5 linked regions of the Ovis aries genome follow. The protein of the gene in region 5 interacts with the protein of the main gene of each other region in a biochemical or structural test. Links are inferred from orthologs where the notes say so. Each region holds a gene or a part of one and is shown on either strand. Other genes may lie near its edges.

Region 1 (3,500 bases), on a different chromosome or scaffold from region 5:
TAAAGCTTCTTTACTGAACCATTTCTCAGAGTCCTGTATACACTAACGTACTTATGAATCTCCATGGAGGTCACATATAGCCTGCAAATAGTACCCACACTTATTTCATCAGGAACTCTGCTTTCATAAGGTGAAGTTTAAAATACTACACCAGATGATTTAAATTCCATCTTATCAGAATATGCCAGAGGCTGCTTGAAAACTTATTAAATTAGAAGCAAAACAATAATCACATTTCAGTTAAGATCTTCTGATTTTCTACTTACATCCAAAGAAAATAGCTTACAACTAGTCATATGTAGTTACAAATTTATAAGTATTAATATTTATGTGTAATTAAAACATAAAACAAATTTGTCAAGTCTTCTTGATAAAAGACCCCAAATACCCAGTAACATGCTATTTACCACTCCAAACGTGTTACTTGGAAATATTTTAAACTGACAGAAGTGGAAGAAAGAACACCAAGATACCATATACCTTTTAGCTTCTTCTAAATCAAATGAATCTCAAGAGTTCTATGGTAAAGATCAGATTGTTTGATAAAATGATGAACTTGGTACAGTTTTTCTTTTCACAAAAATTGTAAGACTACACACACACAAACAGAAGTCAATTCTGAAAACAGGAAATGGGCATTTAAGGCCACATCTTGTCATCATAACGTTAAAAAAAAAAATCAAGAAAAGTCATATGGGAAGAATCAAAATACCTGAATTTTAATAACTCCTGTATTGAGTAGGAAATGCCAAAAACTATAATTAAAAATTAATCAACAACGAAATCTGGATACTGAAAGCCATGGAAGACATCCAAAGCTACACTCACAGACAAATTCATTCCACTTTTATAATCATAGCAGAAAAAAACTTTCTGTAAACATTAGTTGAACTGAATGACTAACAACCAAAAAATGCTATTTAGAAACTGATAAATTATTCAATTAATCTTTAGAGGATACAGCAAAGCAATAAAATCATTGACAAATCTCAATTAAGATTAAAATATATATATTTCTTATATACTTTATCTAATGATATATCTATATATAGGTATATAGACAAATATAGAAAAGGAATACAGAAATTTTTAAATAAACAATTTTATACTAAATTATAAATTCTCAGAAATGTATCAATTTATAAGAAATCATAAATTATCAAAATTAATTTTAAAGGTAACAAACTTGAGCTTTGGCCAACAGTTGAAAAGAGCTGTCAATGTAATTACCAAAAAAAGGTTTGGGCATCAAGACAAAATTGTTTGCCCATATGACTATTTCTTTAGGTAAATTCAAATCACTTTTAGCTAATTCTCATTTTATATCTATCATAGCTTTAAACAAAAATTTCAAACTCTAAAGCCTAACATTCTCTACAGCTTCATGGAAAAGCTATTGCTCATAAATAGTTTTTTCCAAACATAATTTTTAGATTCTCAAAAGAACTTGTAAAATAAAAAAGTGAAATATCAAGTTTCTTCTAAAAACATTAGAAAGAACAGTTCCCAACTCTTCCTGATTACTGCAATCACTTGGGGAGCTTTAAACATTTAAGAGATTCCTAGGTCCGTCCTAGCCCTACTGGATTAAGTCTCTGGGATAGGTCAGGAGCCTGCAGGTCTCTAAAGTACCTCGTGTGTTTCTCATCACCAGCCAGGTTTGGGGACCAGTGCTCTACAGCACATCTTTTATTCTTCTCATTCCCACCTCTTCAAGGAGATATTCTGGGAAAGCAAAAGCTGTACCAGGAACCAATATGAAAGAGGTATGAGTGTATAACTGAACAGTACATGATTTGGTAGGAGAAATCAAAGATAAACACATACAGACAAAGAAAGAAAAGCTCAATAAATAAGAAAAGATGAGGGAAACAACAAAAGATACTCTCTCCAATATTTTTCCCATGGATGAAATGACTGTTCCTGATAACAGTGGGTAGAGGATTAAATCTCTTATGCAAGAAAAGGGCAAGAATATAAAAATGATCTTTAATTAACTGGGATATCATGTATCCTACAGCTTAACTTGACAAAACACCTATTGATATTCCAAGGACCTCTGAAGAATCAGAAACACCTTACCAAGGGAACAGAGAGTATGCTGTCTTAAACATTTTGTATTTGTCTACCTAATGGTCTTTTTTCTTCTCACCAAATTAAAAGTAGGGGATAGTGAGCAAATGATTAATTTAAAAAATTCTGCCAAGTACATTCAATATTTATGTCCTTAGTACTATTATAATAGTTACTACTTATAAGGAAGAATTATAGATGGAAGTTTTTTCAGTTCTGAGTATTTGTGTTCATCTGGGGGTGAGGAGATATGTAATCTAATAAATACAACTAGACAGAGCTAAATTAGAGCCAAGAAGATTAACAGCTGAAGTATTTTTCAGTCAATCTAGGATGTTTCAAGGTCTCTGAATAAAACACCTATCCCAAAATATAACAGGATCGTCTCTCTCCACTGGCACACACATTAGATATCCCTGCACCTCAGTAGCTTAGATTCCCCTGAAGTATAGGACCTGTATCTTAATTATTCTTGCATCCGTTTGTTTTGTTCAGCACATTTGGCATAAAACGTGGAGAATTAACAGGTGGCAATACAGTTGAGAAATGTAATTAACTTTTGTCAAGTGGTGTTAACTATGTTCTATCAAAAGAAAAGAGATCTTCATTTTGCTCTATTACCCATTCCAACAGCAATTATATTTCTTTAATCTTGTCCCTAACTACTGAATATAGAGTATTATATTCATCACATAACACAATATTAGAAAATATGTCTCATTTAGATACAAATACATTTTTTAAAAAAGAATAAGAAATTACAATCTTTAATTCTCCATTCTTACAGATCATCCATTTCGCAGGGACCTTCTTTCTTCAAACTTTCCTTGCTTCACTTGCTCTGTCAGAAACTACACTAAATAACACCAAAGGTTATTAACAAGGACAGGTAATGAAAACAGAAGATTATGCTCACTTTCCAACCAATGCTAGTTTTATATTAGTCAATACATTCACAAAACTCCTACCTCAAAGATCTGTTCAAAATTCTGAAACTCTTGTAATCTTGCCTGAAAACCTTCTGCAAGTGCCCCACCTGTAATATTTAGGTGAAGAGGTTTAAAACCTGGTATATAACAAGATAAGATATTTGCATGCTACTTTTATAATCTATATTTATATTTCAAAAGGAAATCTATAATGAATACATACCACCTTCTGGCATCCCCTGTGCTTTCTGCTTTCTAGCACTAAGAACTTCCTTTGCAGAAACAAAAAAGATACGATTGCGTGCTTCTAAAGGATCCACAACTCTGAGCTCCTCCACCAAAAAATGCAGGCATCTTTCCATGTGCTGTCTGCGTACCTAGCAAAAAAAGAGGGTATTAAAAGAATTCTAATAACTAAACAAATATGAGTTACAGGCCTATACTAACTCCATTTATAGTGATATTAAGGATGGCATCACGACACAATGGACATGGTTT
Region 2 (3,500 bases), on a different chromosome or scaffold from region 5:
TACCGCTGCTCCTGCGCTGCAATGTGCAGAGAGTCCATGATGAGGCGGACGGCCTCAGCGATCTGCTTGGCCCGGACCGTGTGCTGCTCAAACTTGGTCTTCACGGCCGACTGGGAGATGCACTCCTGGAACAGACAAGAGGTGCCAAGGGAGGCAGAAGCCACCAGCCAAGAGCCAGGCTCTGGCATTCAACTGCCAGGGACGTGGCCAGGGAGCGCCAAGGAGGCACAGGATCTCCAGACAACAGGATCAAAGGCTCATGCTCACCTCAAATCTCCTCTCAAAATTCTGAAACTCAAACATCCTCACTTGAAAGCCTTCTGCAAGAGCGCCCCCTAGGAGAAGTGCACCACATTAGTCCAGAGAGAACTCAGGCAGCCAACAGCTTCTCACCCAGGGTTCCTCTCACCACCTCATTCTCACAGCGATTTCTACCGGCTGACTTAGCACAAGACCCAATGTCTCAAGCGTCAGGGAAAAGCAAGAAGCTGGTTCCATCATCACCTCCTTCGGGCATGCCCTGGGCCTTCTGGATCCTGGCGTTGAGCACCTCCTTGGCGGACACGAAAAAGATGCGGTCTCCAGCCTGGCCCCGATCCACCACGCCCAGCTCGTCCACCAGGAAGCTGGTGCAGCGCTCCATGTGCTGCCGCCGCACCTGGAGCCCAAGCACACAGGTATTATATGACCAGGTGGGGCGCGAGGGGGCCCTCCTGAGGGAGCCCATGGCCCCTGGTGGCCTCTTTTCTAAGAGTACAGGTAATCTAGTCACACGGCTCAGGATTCAGAAGGTATCAACACACATGCAGTGATCATTTCCCACCATCTGTCCGCCAGCCACCGGGCCCCCCAAATCCCAAGTCACAGGGTTCCTTGGGGTGCAGCCTGTCCAAGACACCTGAGGCATCAACAAGCAGAAATGTTTACACATGTCCCAGACTGCCTTGTTAAGAGCCTACAAAAGTCTCCCTTTGGTGCCCCAGAAGGAAAGGAAGCTGGGGGTCAAGAAACCCACACCTGTGAGGGGGCAGGGAGGAAGGCTCAAGAGGAGTTGATATATGTATGATAATGGCTGACTTTGTTGTTGTACAGCAGAAACCAATACAACATTGTAAAACAATTTTCCCCCAATTTGAAATATGTTAAAAAAACAAAACGAAACACAGAAACCCACACCTGGACTCTGTACTGACAAGCTGAGTCCTCCCTGGCCTTGTTCATTGAATGAGAGGGTGCCACCCAAAAATCCCTCCTCTGAAGCCCTAGGGCTCCACTGCTGGAACTTCAAAGTGATAACAGCCTCCGGTGGACACCTTCCACATGCCAGGCCTTTACTCAAGGTGAACAGATCTCATCTTCTGCACAACTCCATCTATTACACCCAGCCCACAGGTTAGGATTTACCTGGGTTAGTTAGGGTATGTTAGGGAGTTTATCAGTCACACTGCCCAGCATCTGCTGACTACACACTTGATCATCATCCCATAGCACCTGTGACTCCTTTTTCTTTCATGTTACCCATAAAAAGTAAAGCATTCTGAGCTGTAAGAACCAGTTATTCTTTGCTCTTCTTTTAAGCTTCTTTCCTGGATGCCTTTCAAAGCTACGCCTCTGACTCATTCTTTAAGAACTAAGGAGAGCCCTGGTCCCAAGGAAGGGCTCGGCCAATGTGGTGTGGAGGCCTCTCAGCACAGAGAAAAGCCTTCTGAAGATTAGAGGGGAAGGGGATACACATATACTACAGCTGATCCACTCTGCTGTACAACAGAAACTAACAAAACACTGTAAAACAGTTACACTTCAAAAAAAAAAACGAGGAGAGGGGTTCGGGGAAGTGAATGGGAGAAGTGAATCGGTCCCACAATGACCCCGAATACCTCATGGGACAACTTTAGTGATGAAATTCATTACTAATTTAAGAGAGTCTAGGCAGACGTACAGGGTGGCATTCCCCAAGATGCTGAGTAAAAGAGGCGCCCACCTCCTCCATGTACTCAGGCTCCGAGGCAGACGCATCCCAGCGGTTGTTCAGGATGAAGATGTTTGGGCGGGACAGGCGCTCGCTCACCTTGTGGAAGAATTGCTTTTCCTGGATGAGGGGAAAGACCTCAGTGAAGGACGGGCTGTGCCAGCCATGGCCCTGCTGGCCCACCCGCTTGGCTGGATCTTGGGAGTGTGGGGAAAGGCAGAGGATCGGTTACCGTCTGCATCAGGGTGGACTCCGAGTTGGCCACCAGCACGAACACGTCGGCGTCCAGGCAAAACTTGTCAATCCAGCTGTCCAGTTCTGTGGTGACGTCAATGCCAGGGCTGGAGGTGACAGGGGTAAACCATCATCAGACCCGGGGCCCTATTCTTCCTGCTCTGAACAGACCTGAGGCAGCAGGCAAAGGAAGAGAAAGCTACAGAGGAGAGGGAAATCGCCCTTACTGGAGGGATTCTGATTTTTCAGCTCACATCCTTCCAGACTCTCTGAAAATGTGTTTTCTGTCATATGCATCTATCACTCATGAAAACCTAGACATCTGAATTTGACTTTGTGCATGCACGTGTGCATGCTACGTCGCTTCAGTTGTGTCCGACTCTTTGTGACGCTATGGACTAACTGTAGCCTGCCAGGCTCCTCTGTCCATGGGATTCTCTAGGTAAGAATACTGGAGTAGGTTGCCAGGCCCTCCTCCAGGCGATCTTCCCAACCCAGGGGTCAAACCTGCATCTCCTACACTGGCAGGCAGGTTCTTTACCCATAGGAAGCCCCTGCATTTCACTTTGCTGGTATACAATTAAGGTGAAGTGCTACATTTATCTGAGTCCAGCAAGCACCCTCATACCAAATTTCTTGGTATAGTTATAGCCTGTCCACAAAGCAGGAGCAAAGTGTTGCCTTGAGAAAAATAAAACACAACAGGGACCTCATCAAGAACAAGCTCCACCCCCTCCTCCAATAAACATACTAACATTGGGTTGAGGCCGAGAACCTTCCCCAGTTTCAAGCATCCTTCCTATCCCTCTTCACAGACCATCACTGGGAGATCTTTGGGGCCCTGATGCCTGCCAAGATGATACAATAACCAGACCCTGAAGGAAATCCACGAGGCTGGAAGATGTGGCTAAGCTGGTTTAAAAACTAATATACTTCAGCAGAGCAACAACATGACCTTGGGGACACTGGCCTGGAGGACCCAGAAATGGAAACCTGGGGCCCTCCCCGTCTGCACCTCCTAGGGAGGCACCTGCCCTCTTACCTGTCCATCAGCACCAGGTCATCCTTGAGAAGCGGGCACTTGGAGTTGGGCCACATCACACTCACCAGGCTGCCGGCATGCAGCTGTTCGTCCTGGTGAAGGGCATGCGCCAGCTGGTTCACCGTCTGATGGGGGTGGAGGCAGAAGATAATCAGGGTCAAGGAAGAGCCTCCAGGCTGGAGACCAGTGCAGCCTAGCCCCAGGACAGTGGCCTGGCTCGCAGGCCAATCTGCTACCCCTCTTTCATTTCATGCA
Region 3 (2,757 bases), on a different chromosome or scaffold from region 5:
CCGCTCAGGGCAGTAGGGAGAGTGAGGCAACAGCAGACCAGAGCCTGTCCGAGCCACCCCCCTCAAGTCAGTGCAGTGCCCCCCTGGAGAAACGCCTCCAAGCAGGAACTTCTCCTGGGTTTAGGACATCAGGTGGGCCTCAGAGGCTCGAGCGCCTTTGGCGCGCGGCACGGGGCCGTCGGCTGCCCCTGCTCTGCTTTTACAGCGTTTACTGTGGTGTCACCACCAGCACCTGCTTACGGCAGATGAGACTGGTCTCCATTCACGGCAGTGAAAACAGTGGCAAAAATAAGAAAGCAAGGCCATTACAAGGAGAAAGTATTATATGTCCATGGTGCAGAAATAAGGCCCGTGGGGAGAAGCGTGGCGTTGGGGCGGTCTTTTCCCTCTCTGCCTCCATTTCCTTGCCTCTACCTCTTGGGGGTGTAGCAGGAAGGCTGAAGGAGCGCTCCTCTCAAAGTGACCGGCACAGGCTGAGTGATAACAGCCCAGAGCCAACGCCATACAAGTTGTGCTGAAACACAACTGGGAAACAGGCCCTCCCTCCAAAACAGCACGTGTGTGTCCTGCGGTACATGTCATCATCCAGTAACCAAGGAACAAATGCAATCAGGCCCCAAGTGCCCCTGACATTCGAGCACAAAGAATCTGGGGGACCCCCAGGGGACAAGGAGGGGCAGCAGAAACAACTTACCACTCCATTAGAACTATTAACTCCATTCATATTAATTTTTGTTACAAATCTTACAAAGGGGGGTGCTTCTGGGTATTTAGGTCCACATTCTATTTTAAGGCTGTATATTCGGTTTTCATAAATTGTCTGGAAAAAAAATAGAAGGCATAGCCATGTCAGGCAATTACAAAGAATTAAAAAACTGCACAACTTCTGAAACCCCATTTATTCCCCATGCAGAGCTGGTGTGTCTGCTGCCACCATTCAGAGTCTACTCGCTGTTTGCTAAGTTAGTCGTAATCAGTCCCTGCACCAGCGCCTATGCATCCTGGCTTTGGGGGAATATAAAGAAGCCAGGAAATTTAAGCCAGTGTCACTGAAGTCTTAGGGTGGCATCATTAGGCCCAATCAGATGGACTTGGCTTTTCTGTTCATTTGTCTACACTCTGGAAAATGACGTGTAAGAGGCATCCTTCATTCTGGGAAGTCACACTGATGTCTACTCATGCTGGGATCATCAGCCAAGGCACTAGATACCATCATGTACAGAGTAAAGAACAAGCAACTCTAGAGGACTTTGAACTCAAGCACAAGATCAGGGTGGGCACAGACACAGGGTTGCCTTCCACTCCTCACCACCGGGGCCGCGCTCTGGGAAGGGATCTCAGCCACAGGCACTCCGTCCCTGCTGCCTTTAGGACCACCCGGCATCGAGGAGGTGTGTGGGGGGAGGGGGCCGAGGACGCCAGACCTGCCCAGGAGAAACGGTCCTTCTCCGAGCGCCAACCGAGCCTCCACTAAGAAACACCGAGTCCCGCCTCATGCCCGGGGATGGCTCCCTTGTCACTTCTGCCCGGTGAGCAGTGGAGTGCGCCGCCTTCTCCAGGCGGTTCCTTCTGCCTAAAGTGCTGAACCCCCACTCGGACCACCTCATAGCCTTCGAGACCCAGTTCAAGCAGCATGTTAATCAGAAGGCTGTGCACGGTTTTCTCACGTGAAGCTGCGTTATCATCATCTGCGTATCTGAAGACCACACCAAACCGCGGCTGACACCTCCCGGTCAGACTGGCCCCCTTTGCAGGGAGACCGGCCTCCTCCGGGGCCCTCACCCGCGCCCTGTGCCCTCTGCACCCCGTGCTGCACAAGAAACGGCCGTGTGAACAGTGACATCTAGCGGCCTTTGGGGGGAGCACATTAAGAAGGATGATTAAAAGGCTTGAAAACATTCCGTCTAAAATAGTGGCCTGTCCCTAGCTTAAAAACTGGAACATATATTTTAAGATCCAGAATGCATAATAGTCCCATACCACATCCACTTCACAGGGACCCCAAGCTGTAACAAAAGCTCAACTCAGGATTTCCCCCCACCTGCCTTCTTCCCTGGTAAGCAGGAGCACCATCCGGCAGTTAGAGCAAACTGGCAGCCAGCCATGACTCCCTTTTCCCTCACTCCTCATCCCAGGCATCAGAAGGGATGCACACTCACCCAACCTTCCTCTACTGTGCGCCTCCTCCAGATGACCCCAGGCCTCTGCCTTCTCTCGCGCCCCTAGCACCTGCTCCCCAGACAGCCCTGGAAACTGTGCCTGTGGCCTCACCCCTCCAGTGGCTTCCTGGAGACCCGAGAAAGGGGGGCCCGGTTCCTGGACTGGACCCCATGCGGCCCTGCCCTCCTCTCCGTTGCTTCTCCTTCCTCATCCCGCCCCTCCGGCCTCCTCGTCACACTCTTCAGACACACTGAGTCCTCTCCTTGGGGTGCTCATACCAGCTGCTGCTCTGAGCCTCGCAGCTCAGCTCCCATGCATCTTCCCCTCAGAGTTCTCGGGACCCCTCATTTGAAGACTGACGCCCAGTCACCCGCCAGACACCCCTCACTAATCTCGGAACAAGGCGGGCAGGGGCCTCAACCGAACTGGTACTCATCTGTTTATTGAATGAATGAACATTGCAACTTTTCTGTAAATCTGGAAGTAGTATACAATGAATGTTTGCTTATTTATCTATTTATATTGCAATACAGTTGACAGTATTAGTTCCTGGTATACAACAGTGACTCAGTATTTTTGCAGATGATACTCCATTTA
Region 4 (3,500 bases), on a different chromosome or scaffold from region 5:
ATAGAAAACATTACAATGAGAAAATCAAGTTAAGTGACTTGCCTGACTGAGGCACAAAGATGTTAGGTGGCAGCAGATTTGACTCTAGGATAAGCACAACTAGGGAACAAATACCCCTGTCAATACAAACTTTCTGAAGGGTACACGGCAGTTTGTTTTCAGGGAATACATAGCCACTCAGCTTCCATATATACTTTCATAAAATGGATCTGCCTAAGATACCCTTCCACTCACGGAAGAAAGCTCATTTTGCACCCACCCAAGGTATGTTTGTTAGTCACTCAGTTGTGTCTGACTCTGCAACCCCAGGGACTGTAGCCCGCTAGGCTCCTCTGTCCATGGGATTGTCTAGGCGAGAACACTGGAGTGGATTCCCATTACCTTTTCCAGGGGATCTTCCTGACCCAAGGATCAAACCTGGATCTCCTGCAATGCAGAAGGATTCTCTACCATCTGAGCCACAAGGGAAGTGGTATCCAAGAAATGTCCCTTAATCAAGCCACTATTGAGACACCCACACTTCCTCCTAGAAAGAGGTGCACTGCCTATACATCATAACTTCTTGTATCTAACAATTATTTACTATAACTTATATCTTGTTATTTGATAAATTTTTGTATGATAATGTGAAGTACGATAGTGTGATCAATAGAAGACTTGAACAATATATTTTGTTAGGATCAACTTCTGTGGGGAAAGAGAAATGGGTCCCAAGGAGTTAAAATGAAACAATGTAAAATTTCTGACTGTTAAAGATAAATTTGTTCATATATTTTTAAAACATTTGGTAGTAAGCTATCAAATAGCTGTTACACATTCTATTGTGTACACGTAAGCAATTTAATTAACAAAGATCAAATACCAATATTTATAATTAATTGGAAAATACAACCTTTGCAACTATTTAAACTTTGAGAAAAAACTTCAGATGCCAACTTAAAAACATCTAAGGGATAAACAGACTTCAGAAATTCTTTTAAGGAAGTACATAAGCAAAAAAGTTAAACCACTGTAGTGTATATACCACAGTTCAGAGACACACAATGTGTCAATGGAATCAAACACGTGAAGAGATGACAACATCACAAAAAAATCTAGAAACGGTCAATGCTTCTAGTTAACCAGAAGGCCCAACCTACCTCCATTAACCAATCCAGAAGAATTGCTCGCATTTTAGGCTGCAGAAGAGGGTGCCGTTGCATAAGATGCTTGTCCCTCAAGTATGTCTTCTCCTTGTTTAACATGATTTTCCATACTTCCTCTCTATTTGCCCAGCTACAAAAAAACAAAACCAAGCAAAACACAAAAGACAGGCATCAGTATGCATCCAGCTAGCGAAGTGGAAGTGCACACAGGGAGTAAGAGACCCAGGAGGCACTCGGTGGTCAGCTTACTTCAGTACAGGCAGTGGCGACGCTCTGGATGACGATGGCGTGCACCTCTGAGGCTTGTACGCAGCGTGTGGGTACAGAAGTTCATCCTCTTCTTTGTCAGGTGTGGGAATCAGGGAGCAGGGGTTTTCACAGGCTGTATTACTGTCCCAAGGCTGTAAAATAAAGACATGTTAAAAAAAGTTTGATGCAAACCAGCTGTTTTTACATTCATTGATTTGTAAAACAGCCAGTAAAACAAAAAAACAAAATGTCTTTACACACCTAGAGCAATCTCTAGGCCTAAATCAATATTCCAGCCTAAATTAAGATGGAGATAGCATGGAAGACACAGTAATGACTCCAAGCTTTCATTTTCTCAGGAGTCTATGCAGTAAGTACCTAAGAAAACTAGTCAGTAGCATTTTATTCTCCATATCATCATCCTCATATGAGGTGTGTGAGGGCACAGGAAGGGTAAGACAAAATGCAAACAGCTCTTATGTTACCGAAAAAGAAAATCTACTCGCAGTTCAGTAAGACACTAAGCATGGCTCCAAAAGGGTATTGGGAGATTTGGTCACAATTCAAAGACTTGGGATTTTTAACAAGTACAACTAACCTAATAAAATGTCTTAAAAGTGAAAGACAGAGTTTCCAATAAAAGTATTTACATAAGCACTCCACAACCACAAGTATAAAACTGATTCCCATCTATATTTAGTTTCCTCATTTAATAAAAACCCACCAAATGTGACATCTTCCTTTGGTTGCAGGTCAAGCCAAATATATTACATAATGAGGACCTTTCGTTTTCCTTAATTCAAATGGAAAAAAAACAAAGGAGTATCTGCCTACTTAAAACCACATCAAGCAACAGTCACAGGATTTACTAAGAAGTCTATAGAGATAAAGCCTAGATATTCCTGAAGACCTTTGAAACCCACCCCCAAAGTCTTATATAGTAATAAATGCTAAACCATCATTAAAAACCCAAACAATGGTTCTTTTAAAAAGTCCAGATATTTAATTCAATTTTTAATATTTGGAAAATGTCATTTTGCCATTTAAAGCTTTTTCTTTGTAAAGCTACTGTTTATCATCTTACTCGAAACAACTATGATTGTTTTTTAAAATTATAATGAACTTATTGAAGATATGGCACGTTAACAATCCTGCCAGCACGGACGCTCTGTTAAAGGTCTGAGACTCAGCAATTTTTTTTAAAGCAGAGAGATCATCAGTGTTGACTGGAAAAGAGACAACCAAGAGGACTGTAAATGAACATGGAAACTTGGGCTCTCCAAGTGCTGCTTGGAAGACATGGGACGGGGTGGCTATCACGGCACACTGGCCACTTTCAGAGGAAGCCAGAGCACTTTCAAGGTACTGAGAAGAGCAGAGTAGGATAAAGCTCTCCTCCATCCAATGTGCAAAGAATTGGGCATGCAAATTAACCATGACAGATCTTGCCAACAGCTGTTGGAGAAGGGCAACATCCTCTTCCAGTTCTAGTATCATGTGCTGGTATCATTTCCTTGACTCAAAAGGATCATGTTACAACTGCTTTAAGTCGTATTCATTCAAGAATGAATTCTAGTTTTGAAAGCAGAAGCTGGGTGTCACCCTCTACAGCCAGATGGCTGAAATAGTTGAGAGAAGACTTTTGGAGATAAAATGTTAACAGTTCCCAACCTGCAGTACACAGACAAATCAGGTGAACCACAAGCAGACAAATGGTCCCCAAAGTTGGCCTTTGACCAGTGTATGAAGCAGAATAATGAAGTCTATATTCTTTAACTTGAATGTATACCATGTCTCAAAGAAAGTGAGATCAATCTGACTTTAGGAAGGAAAGGGATAATAGCAAGAGACCAGTTTGATTATTTCTAACCACCTCTGACTCTTTGTACCTCTTTTAATGGAGAATGAAACCACCTTATGCAAAATTATGTTCTGAGAAGTAACTAATAGAAATTCTAGGACTCCATTTCAATAAACAAGTTGGGTCTCATGCGAAAAATTGAACAAAATGGATATGTTAAATAGACTTTAGACAAAAGAGCATTATTTTCATTGGGAAAAACCCAAGGTAAGAATCAAAGGTTCCATGTGGTCTTGATGTAGCAG
Region 5 (4,281 bases):
AGCTTTTTATTCTGGTTTATTTACAGTCCTCTCCATATTTCTCAAAAAATAATAATTTTTCACCTACTTAAGTTGTTTCTGTAGCTGAGTCAGGGCATTTAACATATTAATCTAACTGGGACATGTAGTACTTTTGAAACAGTCTCTGTGACAAGAAAGAATCGTGAGTTTTGAGAAGGTAAAGGAAGATAATTTTATTGGTAGTGAGGAAATCAATTGCTGTGGGGGTCCCCCACGGACCCCCATTTCCTCCTCCAGGGATTCTTCCTGACCCGGGGATGGAACCCGCATCTCTCATGTCTCCCGCACTGGCAGGCAGGTTGCTTACCACTGGCGCCACCTGAGTAGCACACATGTCGGTAAACAAAAAATAAAATCATCCCCATATATATATTAGTGAATATGTTTAATCTTCCGTATATCACTGGATATAGACTATAATGCCTTTCCTGGCTCCAAAGTTTTATCAGAAATGGGAAACTCATCACTCCAAGACCTTCCTTCAATTGCTCCCACTTTCACTTACCTTTGGCATTATTCAACATAACCAAGCCCAAAATTGGCAATTAAGATTTTTATTACAATATACCCACTGACAGAATTAGGCAATGCAACTAGTTGAGTAGCTGTACAGAATAATTTATTGTATATTATCCACATGGCTTTAACATGTGAAGTATTTTTCTCAGGAGAGTACATGGATTTAATTATTTATGTTATACTTATTTGCAGCGTGTAAAACAATAGCTGGAGTATGAGAAACAACACTTTTAAAATACCACCTTATATTCTCCATGGCACTACCAGTGATTAAGAAATGTCTAATCATCAGATCTAAAGATAATACTCTTCCTTCCTGTGTCCCTAAATCCCAAACTAAACCACCTAAACATAGTTCATTCTAACAACATTATTTATATAATCATCTTAGAGAATAATTCAGAATTAACTGATGACTTTTAGATCTTAAATTCTTGCCTTTACATAGCTTTGCGTGTGAGCGTGCTAGGTTGCTTCAGTCATATCCAACTCTTTGCGACCATATGGCCTGTAGCCCACCAGGCTTCTTTGTCCATGGGATTCTCCAGGCATGAATACTGGAGTGGGTTTCCATGCCCTCCTCCAGGGGATCTTCCCGATCCAGGGACAGAACCTGCGTCTCTTATATCTCCTGCACAGAGTCAGGTTCTTTACCACTAGTATCACTGGGGAAGCCCCTAAATAGCTTTACTGTAAATTTATTTCTTTTAGAATTATCCATGTATCAGATTATGTTCAATTACAATAAAATCTGTACAACTGTCTTCAAGACAAGGTGTAGACTATTTTTTCCCTGTAAAATATGGACAGCATGAATTTTGGAAATTTTCATATTTTTCTGATTCAGTTTAGATTTGCGTTAGAAAATGAATCTCGTGTAACTGTCACCTAAAAAAGGTCAAAATATTCACAAAACCTTATATATTTTTCTTAATTAGATAACCCATTCATCAGAAACCACATCATGTTAGAAAAGTAGGAAAAACTGGACAACATCCTCAGGTTTTACATTGTTGCAGTGTCGGTTAGCTGGCATATTCCTCCTAGTGTTGGATAGAACGTTTCAGATTTTAACATTAGTCTAATAAATAACTGATGTAAGAAGAGTTTATCAGTATGTAGAAACTTACTTTTAAAAATCACCTTCCATCTTCTTGGATAAACTACATTCACACGCACCTGAGGCAATCAAAAGTGCTTTAAGCGGCACCCAGTCAAGAATAACTCGCCCCCCCCAAAAAAAAAAACCTCACCAAACCAATTAACACACAGTCTAGAGGAAATCTGTCATAATAAACTCCCCAAGGAGCAATGTTTTGTAATCACATCGTATATTTCCACTAATTTTCAGAGATAAACTAATTTTTGGCTTAACAATCCTGGAAAAGGGGGACTTTTCCAGTCTTCTTTACTACAGTGATTACAAGCAATTCTAACAGCCACTTCCAAAGCTTTATTCACAAAAATGCAGCTAGGTCATTCTGTGTGTGTGTGTATATATATACATGTATATATAAAGATTTATATATATATATATTTTAAAAAAGGTTGTTGCATAATGAATCGTAAATTCATCATGCTGGAAGTTTTAATCCTTACTATCATTCACTATTAATTATTCTTTCATCTCAGACCTCCAAAGAGATTATCTAGAAGACAAAAATCCAAGAGTGTAAGAAGTTCAAATCCACCTGCGGGAATTTCTTTTGACCTCAAGCACCATCACCAGGCACCGGTCTATCAAGAGTTTAGCGCTTCGCTAAGGTTTCCCTTCAAGAGCTCCCCGGACAGTGTGGGTCCCCCCGCCCCGTCCTCAGCGGGAAGACAGCCCCCCAAGGCGCCCCGAGTTGGCGCGGGAAGAGGGGGTTCCCTACGGACCCCCGCGCTCGAGCGGGCGGCGGGAAGAGGGGCTTCCCCACGGACGCCCGCGCTGGGCCCCCCTGGCGAAGGCGTCTCCGGGAAGAAGCCTGGCAAGGCGGGCGCGGGCGGGGCTTGGGACAGAGACACACACGTCTTCTCGGGGAGCCGGCGGCGCGGGCTGAGGGGAGCGCGGACACCGCCACCCGCCACTGACAGCGGGCACCCGGGGTGGGGGGGGTCCCCGCCGAGAGGGGCGGCGCAGAGACGCTGTACCTGGCAGGTACCCACGTACCTATCATGGCCACTGGGCAGGCGGACGCGGCCCGCCAGGCGAGCAGGGTCCCACTCGCACCCGGGCGCCCGCCTGCGCCTCACACGAGCGGCGCTCCGGGGTTAAATCGTCCGGGACGCCCCTCCCCCTCCCCCTCCTCCCGGCGCCCGGCCCTCGAAACGCGCACGCGCGAACGGCGTGCCGCCCGCGGCCTTCTGGGAGTCGTAGTTTTCACTCGTTAAGTACCGCCTCGGGTCAGTCGCCGCCCGCCGCCCGCCCTTCCGGCCTGAGGCCCAGGAAACGTATACGTCACCGGGAGGCGGGGCCATCCGGCCTCAGTGTTGACGCGTCGCTTAGCAACCGGGAGGGTTACCTTTGGAAGCTTGTGGCAGCTCTGGCCTCGGCCCTGCCCTCTTCCCGCCCCTCCCTTCCCCTCAACTCCCAGCACCTAGGAGCTGCCAAACATCTGGATCGACCACTGCTACGAAGGGGTTGAATTTCTACCATTAACGCGCCTTTTTCCATTTTTTCCCCCCGACCTCCTCCTCACATCCATAAATCTCACTGACTCTTTTACTACACGTTGTATGAGAACAAGACATTTTCTAGGAAGATGGTGGCAGAAAAAGAGACCCTGAGCTTAAACAAATGCCCAGCCAAGCTGCCGACGAAGACCAAGCTCCTGGCACAGCAGCCGCTCCCGGTGCACCAGCCTCACTCCCTGGTTTCTGAGGGCTTCACAGTCAAAGCCATGATGAAAAACTCAGTCGTAAGTGATCTTCCCGAATCGAATGCACTCGCTCCCAGTCAGGGGACCCCAGGTTGCAGAGATTGGCTGGCCCTAGGATGGATTCTGAGCCCATGTCCTGGGTGGTCTTCGCCCAAAATGGCAATTTATTCGGCCAGTGGCAGACGGTGCCCAACAGAGTGTGGAGGTCCAGGCTGGGATGTTAAGAAGGAGTCTCGGGCAACTGATGTACTGTGCTCGTTTCTAAGCACCTTCCTAATAACTCAGGGTTTCTAGACCACCTGAATCTATGCTTCAGCTATATACACAAAGAAAGATCCCCTTTACTTATTGATTCCTAAACTAGCCCCACTCAGAAAAGCGCCTTAATAGAAGGAGAAGGCTTGGAAATCATGAACTCCCTTGCAAAATTTAACATTTCTGATGTACAGCTGGGAACCCAAACTCATTAACAGTAAGAAATTTTATCAATTCAACCTAGATATTATAAGAATATCCTAGCATTTTTTCTAATAAGATTCTCACGAAAAGGCATGTTAGAGTACTGAGAAGCAACTTAATAAGAAGTCTGTTTCCAAATAGACCTTTTAAACTTTTAATTTTAAAATTTCCAAGATTTGATGCAAATACTTCTGACTATTAATACAATTCATATTTCATTTCTATTGTTTTGTGGTAGTAAAAATCCATTATTCTCAATAGTATTAGGGGGGAAAAGTTTAAACTGCACATGGCAGGTTTCAGTATATGCATAACAGTTTTAAAAAAAAAGCTTTAAATGTGTGCTACACCAGGTTTTCCTACTGACTAAGCACCTGGCTGAGAATGATATATTCAATAATAAATGCAGCTTTCAAATTTG

What was found. The genes of interacting proteins can lie anywhere in the genome.
Region 1: of the proteins of PRKN (region 5) and MFN1, one has a biochemical effect on the other in vitro, tested with the Homo sapiens proteins (3 studies listed by BioGRID). The link is inferred for Ovis aries from reciprocal best matches to the Homo sapiens genes PRKN and MFN1.
Region 2: of the proteins of PRKN (region 5) and MFN2, one has a biochemical effect on the other in vitro, tested with the Homo sapiens proteins (2 studies listed by BioGRID). The link is inferred for Ovis aries from reciprocal best matches to the Homo sapiens genes PRKN and MFN2.
Region 3: the proteins of PRKN (region 5) and UBE2V1 form a complex in vitro, tested with the Homo sapiens proteins (4 studies listed by BioGRID). The link is inferred for Ovis aries from reciprocal best matches to the Homo sapiens genes PRKN and UBE2V1.
Region 4: of the proteins of PRKN (region 5) and CCNE1, one has a biochemical effect on the other in vitro, tested with the Homo sapiens proteins (2 studies listed by BioGRID). The link is inferred for Ovis aries from reciprocal best matches to the Homo sapiens genes PRKN and CCNE1.

Annotation. Positions count from the first base shown.
Region 1 is NC_056054.1:208,514,322-208,517,821, forward strand, and holds part of MFN1 (mitofusin-1), read right to left. Parts: intron 3,380-3,500; coding exon 3,226-3,379; intron 3,110-3,225; coding exon 3,042-3,109; intron 1-3,041. UniProt on the Homo sapiens protein: Mitochondrial outer membrane GTPase that mediates mitochondrial clustering and fusion. Membrane clustering requires GTPase activity. It may involve a major rearrangement of the coiled coil domains.
Region 2 is NC_056065.1:40,951,640-40,955,139, forward strand, and holds part of MFN2 (mitofusin-2), read right to left. Parts: intron 3,371-3,500; coding exon 3,246-3,370; intron 2,311-3,245; coding exon 2,202-2,310; intron 2,090-2,201; coding exon 1,982-2,089; intron 659-1,981; coding exon 505-658; intron 336-504; coding exon 268-335; intron 126-267; coding exon 4-125; intron 1-3. UniProt on the Homo sapiens protein: Mitochondrial outer membrane GTPase that mediates mitochondrial clustering and fusion. Mitochondria are highly dynamic organelles, and their morphology is determined by the equilibrium between mitochondrial fusion and fission events.
Region 3 is NC_056066.1:78,133,583-78,136,339, forward strand, and holds part of UBE2V1 (ubiquitin-conjugating enzyme E2 variant 1), read right to left. Parts: intron 821-2,757; coding exon 695-820; intron 1-694. UniProt on the Homo sapiens protein: Has no ubiquitin ligase activity on its own. The UBE2V1-UBE2N heterodimer catalyzes the synthesis of non-canonical poly-ubiquitin chains that are linked through Lys-63.
Region 4 is NC_056067.1:39,915,271-39,918,770, reverse strand, and holds part of CCNE1 (G1/S-specific cyclin-E1), read right to left. Parts: intron 1,547-3,500; coding exon 1,395-1,546; intron 1,276-1,394; coding exon 1,140-1,275; intron 1-1,139. UniProt on the Homo sapiens protein: Essential for the control of the cell cycle at the G1/S (start) transition.
Region 5 is NC_056061.1:85,935,219-85,939,499, forward strand, and holds the start of PRKN (E3 ubiquitin-protein ligase parkin), read right to left. Parts: upstream 2,801-4,281; 5' UTR 2,700-2,800; coding exon 2,693-2,699; intron 1-2,692. Other genes in the region: PACRG (parkin coregulated gene protein), read left to right, coding at 3,285-3,440. UniProt on the Homo sapiens protein: Functions within a multiprotein E3 ubiquitin ligase complex, catalyzing the covalent attachment of ubiquitin moieties onto substrate proteins. Substrates include SYT11 and VDAC1.